2 linked regions of the Lonchura striata genome follow. The protein of the gene in region 2 purifies or fractionates together with the protein of the main gene of each other region. This does not show direct contact. Links are inferred from orthologs where the notes say so. Each region holds a gene or a part of one and is shown on either strand. Other genes may lie near its edges.

The links. The genes of interacting proteins can lie anywhere in the genome.
Region 1: the proteins of CCT2 (region 2) and GNB1 purify together in Homo sapiens (co-immunoprecipitation; 3 studies listed by BioGRID and IntAct, with this or other methods). This does not show direct contact. The link is inferred for Lonchura striata from reciprocal best matches to the Homo sapiens genes CCT2 and GNB1.

What each region holds. Positions count from the first base shown.
Region 1 is NC_134626.1:2,642,601-2,646,343, reverse strand, and holds the start of GNB1 (guanine nucleotide-binding protein G(I)/G(S)/G(T) subunit beta-1), read left to right. Parts: upstream 1-1,167; 5' UTR 1,168-1,279; intron 1,280-1,956; exon of another isoform or gene 1,957-1,980; intron 1,981-3,743. UniProt on the Homo sapiens protein: Guanine nucleotide-binding proteins (G proteins) are involved as a modulator or transducer in various transmembrane signaling systems.
Region 2 is NC_134607.1:44,620,911-44,624,653, reverse strand, and holds the start of CCT2 (T-complex protein 1 subunit beta), read right to left. Parts: upstream 2,838-3,743; 5' UTR 2,703-2,837; coding exon 2,700-2,702; intron 2,518-2,699; exon of another isoform or gene 2,482-2,517; intron 2,094-2,481; coding exon 2,019-2,093; intron 1,553-2,018; coding exon 1,487-1,552; intron 1,389-1,486; coding exon 1,277-1,388; intron 1-1,276. UniProt on the Homo sapiens protein: Component of the chaperonin-containing T-complex (TRiC), a molecular chaperone complex that assists the folding of actin, tubulin and other proteins upon ATP hydrolysis.

The DNA of each region.
Region 1 (3,743 bases), on a different chromosome or scaffold from region 2:
AATGTTGTGGGTTGTTTTACTTTTACTATAAACCTATTTTGGTTGCCAAGTAATCTCACATTTTAGCAAGGTATAAACAAATATTTGGAAAAAAACCCAGATTTCGATCTGTGATAGGAAGAAAGTGATGCAATACTGTATCTCTACTTACTTTTCAATATTAATTAGGGTTTCAGTATGAGTTCTGGGGGGAAATTATTCCATTTAGGTAACATCTCTCCTGCCTGATTTATGTGAGGTCTGCAAGACAGAAATTGCAAATTTAATGCTTCCTTATTATTTTTTTCCTACTTTCTCTTTCATGCAAACCCTTTCAGAGCTATGATGGAGGCTGCGAGGAGACTATGAAAAGAATGCTCTGGAAACTTTGGCTGTGTGATTACCTTTATAAGCAAAGCTGGAAAAAAAAAAAAAAAAACAAAAAAGAAGAAGTTCTAAGCTACAGAATTGCTATTTGTCAAGTTCCTGAGGGAAACAACACAGAACCTCAGATTTGTGAGGGTTGGAAGGGCTCTCTGGAGATCACCCTGGCCAAGGCATGGTCACCTGGGGCAGATGAAATAGGAATAGTGTCCGGGTGGGTTTGGGATGGCTCCAGAAAGGGAGACTCCACGCCCAGCTGCTCCCAGCCACCCTCATGGAAAGAAGCTCTTCCTCATGCTGAGGAGGAACTTCTGGTTTAGTTTACAGCCATTGCTCCTCGCCCTGTGGCTGGGCACTGCTGACGAGTCTGGCACGATGCCCTGACATCCCTTGGAGATATTTTTATTCATTAACGAGATCCCTCCTCAGTCTTCCCTTCCCAGACTAACCAGGCCCAGCTCCCGCAGTCTCCTCACACGATGATATGAAGATATTTATTGCTTGCCAGCCTGTTGTGAGAAGCACTTAAGGCCTGTGGCCTTTCCCGCTCGGCAGCCCGGAGCGCTCCCATTTAACGCGCGGAAGCTCTGCCTCCCCAGGCTTAAACACCATTTGTGGGTTCACTCCCGTGTCTTTTCGTTCCCATCCGGCTCTTTCGGACTCGTTGAGGGCCGGCCGCGATCGCCCGCCCTCGCCCTTTGTTCGCTGAGGGGAGGGAGCGCGCGGGAGCGCGCGGGAGGCGGGAGGCGCGCGGCCGCCGCCAGCGTAAGGGGCCGAAGGGCGTTGCCCGCGCGGGGGCGCGCAGCGCGAGGCGCCCGGGAGCGCGCACCGCCCGCCCTCCCTCCCGGCCGCGCTGGGCGGGTGCCCGGTGGAGGCGGCGGAGCCTCCGGTGAGGCTCGCGGCGGCGGAGCCTTCGGTGAGGGGCGGCGGGCAGCGGCGGGGCTGCGCGGGGTGGGAGCCGAGCCGGGGTTTCCCGGGCGGGCAGCACGGGCGGGGCGGAGGGAGGAGGGGAAGGAGGGAGGTTGGCCGCGCCCAGGCTGCCCGATGGCTGCGGGGAGCTGAGCGGGCTGAGGAGGAGTCGGGACCCAGCGACACCCCCTCCCCCGCGGATCCCTCCTTCCCGCTCGGCTCTGCCGCCTTCCCCGGGACCCGCCGGGGCGCATCGCGGGCGGCTCCCCCGCTCCTCCTCCTCCTCCTCCTCCGCCCCCCTTCCCTCCCCAGGCCGGCGGGACGCGGGCAGGACCGCGGGCGGCGGACGGACCGGCCCGGTTCATGAGCAGCGGCCGGGAGGGCAGGTAACCGTGTGAGGGGCGCGGGGAGGGCGGCGGTCCCTCAGGACGCGTTTCCCGCCCGCCGAGCCCGGCCGGCCCCACCCCGGGGCCATCTTCCCTCGGCTCCCCTCAGCCCCGCTCCTTCCCCTCCCCCGCGCTTCCTCCTCCTGCCGCACTTCTCCTTTCCCTCTCCGTTCCTGCCTCGTCCTCCCCTTCCGCCGCCGCACCGGGGCCCCGGGCCGCCGCCTGCTCATCGCCCCCGTTCTCGGCGACCCTCGGTATGGCGGGGTTGGAAACAGCCCCCCTCCCCCGCGCTTCCCACCTCCTCGGGGCTCCAGCTTCCCCTAAAAAAGAAGTGTGTTTGTAGCTGGAGGAGGAGGGGAAAAAGGTGGGGGTGGGACTGATTCCCTCTCGAAGGCTTCCAGGCGAAAAGGGAGGAGACCTCGGATCTTGCGGGGTTCCATTTTTAATTATAATTACGCTGTAGTGGTCCCTGCTAGACGGTCTTGGGGTCTTGTCTTAAGCCACAAAAGGCGACTTCCCGAGCGATCCAGCCGGCAGAGGGAATATTTGGAGAGAGATTCGAAGGGGAGGAGGAGAAAAAAAAAAAAAAAAAAAAAGCAATGGTGTGGCTGCTGTAATGGTGGAAAACTGATTAAGAGGAGCCGGGGGTGAGACAAACAGGGTAAGGCTGCTTCCAGCACCCCCAGCCAGCCGAGGGCTCGCAGATGGGGCTCATGCTGGGTGTGCTGGGCGAGGGAGGGGTAGGGAAGGTTTTGTTCTCGTTAGAACCGGAACCGAGGATGGATTCAGACCGCATATTTGTTCCCCCATGTATTACGGTGCTGCATATTTTTGTGTGCCCGTAGCAGCGATAACGAAGATCATGGAGGGTGTTTGCTACAATAGAAAGATGGAGTTTTCTCCTTGGAAATGTTGTTTAAAATATTGCTTAAATTCTGAGCTTTTTATCCAAAGGATTTCAGCATTTTTTATTTTTTTTTTTTATCCGTGCAAGGGATATTGAACGTGTAGGGTTTTTAATCCTACAGCTTTGTAGGGAACGAAGATGTGTAAAGCCTTGCATGTAAATATGAAAGAGGTGAGGCGTTTTATTAACAAAAAAATCTTGTCTAGAAGAAAATCAGAATGATGTAGAGGTTGTTGTAAGATGTCAATTTATCATTCCTGAAGATGAACTGAAATTTTAACGAATGTGATATTTCATTATTCTCTAACAAAGTCACGGCTGGGACTCGTTTTAAACCAGGCATCCTTTCTAGGATGTGCAGACTGCCACGTTATTATGTATTGTCTCCACAGGAGGAAATAGGAGGAAAGCACTGTAAATGTAAGGCTTAAGTGATTATTGAAACAGCTTTTGAGAATAGTTGGCTCAACTTGGGGAGGCGATTTAAGACTGAAAAATTAAACGTTTTGCTGCTGTAGGATATCTGCACCTAATCGTGAGACATTTATCCCATATTTTAAGCTGATGTGGACACGAGGATGTGAATCAAGCGAAAATGCTGTCGATATGTGTGAGAATACGAAGATGATGTGTTAATACCTAAATCCGTCCCTAAATGTGGTAGATCAGGGTTTATTTCTCTCCCTTGTGCTTGAGGAGAGGAGAAGGAGAAGGGGTGATAATAGTGTAGTTGTTTTGGTGGCTGCAGATTAGCCAGGGTGTCTGTTTGATTTTCTTTTTGCTGTGAATGAATGGATCTCTCTGTGCCTGGGCCCAGTAGCTGCAACAAGATGGCGTTTGCAGCAAGGCAGCTCTCATTTTTCAACTCCTCCTCACCCCAGCTTTGCCAAACTAGATCTTATTTCGTAATTGTGTTTTAGATTTACTTTCTCATTCTCTTTGCTTTCTTCTGTTCTGGGGTGGGGGTAGGAGGAGCATTTGGAAGATTGCTGTGAGAAATCTGTGGTTTGTTTTTTTTTCTTAATTTTTGTGAGCTCCTCCAGATAGCAACCAGGTGGGAGGAGTAAATAGTTTTATTGAAACGTTCATATAGGCTCTTAACTGAATAAGGGGGTGACACAATTTTCATTTTTACTTTGCAGTGCCTGCTTAACACCACCAAAATGGTCCCTAGTTTT
Region 2 (3,743 bases):
ATGCTCCCCTCTGTTCCCCATCCTAATAATGGTTATCAAAAGGAAGTACAGCTGGATAGAAGCTCTAAGGTATAGATACAGGATCAGAGACTATAATAACCAGGTCTCCTGCATGAACTGCTGATAAACTGGGAAGCAGCAAAATTATTAGGAAAACTGACATCCAATAGTTCAGGCTCCTGCTTGTCACCAGTACTGGACCACTGGCACACAGAACAGTCGCTCACAACAGTAAACTGTACAGAAGTACAGTGCTCACTGAGTGACAGAGATTTAAATCTGGAAGAAACAGAGAGAACTTCTGTTGCTGCACAGATTTCTGTTTCAAATTTTCCCACTGCACTAAGAGGGTCACACAGCTGTCTTTTGTCCCTTCTGACTACTGGGACAAAGCAGGGTTAAGGGACAAGAAGGTAAAAAATCAGTTTTGAGGAGCAGCATACATCAGAATTTTACTTTTGCAGAATGCTAAAACTCTTGCAGTACCCTGCCCTTCTTACTTCAGATTTCTACTCCCCCTCCATTCAATTTTTCACAGTATTTCAAGAACATTTTTCTAAGAACAAATAAAAACTCCACTATAGAGTTACAAATTAAGAAATACCAAGCCTTTAAGAACTCACCTGGGGGAATCCAGAGCTTCCCTCTGGCTGCCCTGGGACCCTGGCAGGGGGTCAGGAACCCCCCCTGTACAGAGCCCCGAGAGACACTGTCTCTGATCTCTGTCCATGGAAAAGTTTTCAATCTTACAGGATGAATTACAAGTGTAATTCATCCTGTAAGTGTTTGATGTAAGTAATCATTAACATTCTGAGTGTTTGATGTAAGTAATAATTCAGTGTGGCACGGGTGCAAAAGTAAAATTTTAGGATTCTAGATTAGGGGTTCAAAGGGGACAAGATGGAGGAAATTGGGTGTGTCTTGTCCTTCTTCTCCTTCTTCATGACCTCCATGTTTCATTGTAGTGCTGGCATTTTTCTATTGGTTTAGGCTGGGGACACACTGTTCAATGTAGGTGACAGATATTGGCACATTATTGTAAATATAGCACATGTAGTTTCTGGTATTTAATGTTTGTAACATCCCACTGAGGGCAGAGCCCCACACGCTCCCCTGCAGGACAGACCTGCAGCAGGGCAACAGAACATGTTAGAGATAAGCAAAAATAAACAAGCTTGAAACCAGCAGATGAATTATGGCTTCTTCTTTGGCAACGGGGCAGAAAGACATTTTTTACAATCTTGGAATCACCAATACCACAGATTCCACCACTCACCAACCAAGACCTTGGCAGCTGGATTGTCAACTCCAATAGCTTTCAGGATGGTTGCACCATCGTTGGTAACTGTGACAGAGCTGTCTCTCCCGGTACTTAAAAGAATCTTGTCCTACAAGATGCAAGATTTAGCATACTACTTGAAAAGGCACTGTAACTATTAAAGCTAAATTAATGGGCATGCCTACTGAGAGCCAGGAACTGTCTTACCATGCCTTTAGGCCCCAGGGTGCTCTTGACTAGGTCACCAATGGCAATGGCACCAACAAAGGATGACTGAAATGAAAATAAATATACCTCAGGGAACAATTTATTTCTATTCTAATAAAATTATTATACATTACCACACAGCTTTTGACATTTTACCCAACCCTTCCACCACTTTCAACAGAGGCTTAACTGAACTTAAGGCAAGATTCTTAACTGCTAAAATTTGATAATCAGATCAAATATACTTGAATCCCCCAGAAACTGTAAGTCTGTCTCAAACCCAGAAGAAATGCCACTCAATAAATACCAGTTTTCTGACCTCCAGTAGAGGTACTTTCGTTTTGACAATGAAAAGTTTCTCTAATTTTTAGTATAAACACTCCGCCTCCCTTCTGTTCACAGACGTGCAAGAAGAAAAGCCAGTTAGAGATAAAAGTTCCATATCATAATATAGTGAAAATATTTTTATTAGTAGAAAAGACAAAATTTAATTACCTCAAGTACTACCAGTTTCTTAGAGAATTAAACTTACCAAGCGAGCTGTTTCTGCCTTCTCTTCATCTGCACCTGCCTTGAAAATGTTCACAGGAGCAAGGGAAATTGATGCCTAAAACACAGTTAATGTAAGAATATTGTTCTAGCTTCAGTAAAACTATGTGTTCTAAATCCCTCACTGTAACAACTTAAACAATCGGTTTTTAAATAAAATTATTTCCCCGGACCGAGCGCAGCTGCCCGCAGAGCGCAGCGCACCGAGCTCTGCCAGCCCATCCCTTTCGGCTCTGCCCAACCAGCCGGCCTGCAGCCCGAGGGCACGCACAACCAGCAGGAACCAATGCAAGTCTATGTACTGGCCGTACTGAGCCTTTAGCATTTTGATACCTGAGCTGAACTCGCTTTTTTAATTTTTTTTCCCGTATCAATGCAAATTAATCATAGCGGCAACCAATACCCGCCCTTTAGGCCCAACATTTGCAGAGCAGCCAAGGCCTTACATGAAGCAGGATCAAATCCCGAACACTGGTACCGGGGCTCTCGGAGTCGCCCCGCCCCGGCTCCAGAACCTTCGGGCGCCGCCGCCGCGGCACAGCGCGGGGCAACGAGGGGCGCGCCCGCCAGGCCCCGCGCCCGCCCGCCTCAGCGCAGCCCCGCCCGGCCCCGCCGCACCCGGCCCGGGCCGAGGCGCCGCTACCGCCACCGCCCCGCCGCTCACCATGGTGCCGTGCCGCCGGGACCCGCCGCCCGCCCCTCCTTCCGCAGAGAACCAGCGCCGCGCCGCAGCCCGCACGCGCTCCTCCGGAATGGCGGCACGGCGGCGCCGCTTCCGGCCGCGCGGCCTGCTGGGAGCCGCAGTCCGCCCGGCGCCCGCCCGGCGCCCGCCCGGCGCCCACCGCGCCTGCGCGCCGCGCCTGGGGCGGTGCTGGCGTCTGCGAGCGCGCTCGGGGGGAAACTCCTCACCCCGGGCTGAGGCACTGGAACTCCTCACCCCGGGCTGAGGCACTGGAACTCCTCACCTTGGGCTGAGGCACTGGAACTCCTCACCCTGAGCTGAGGCACTGGAACTCCTCACCCCGGGCTGAGAGGCACTGGAACTCCTTACCCCGGGCTGAGGCACTGGAACTCCTCACCCTGGGCTGAGGCAGTGGAACTCCTCACCTTGGGCTGAGAGGCACTGGAACTCCTCACCTTGGGCTGAGGCACTGGAACTCCTCACCTTGGGCTGAGAGGCACTGGAACTCCTCACCTTGGGCTGAGGCACTGGAACTCCTCACCCTGGGCTGAGGCACTGGAACTCCTTACCCTGGGCTGAGGCACTGGAACTCCTCACCTTGGACTGAGGCACTGGAACTCCTCACCCTGGGCTGAGGCAGTGGAACTCCTCACCCTGGGCTGAGGCACTGGAACTCCTTATCCTGGGCTCAGGCACTGGAACTCCTCACCCTGGGCTGAGAGGCACTGAATGGGCTGCCCAGAGAAAGCGTGCATGCCCCATCCGTGCAGTGTCCAGGGCCAGGTTGGATGGGACTCTGAGCATCCTGGGCGAGTGGAAGGTGTTGTGGAGCTAGATGATTCTTAAGGTCCCTTCCAACTCAAAGCTACTTTTTGATTCTGTGGTTCTGTGATATTCCTGGAGGTCAGCTCTCACACAGGTCAAAAGCATTTTCAGTTACTGATTGTGGCCTCCAGTGCGCTTGCCAGCCCAGCCCAGAGGGCTGCTCTTAGACCACATCTCCAGTTACATGCAGTGAACAGGAGA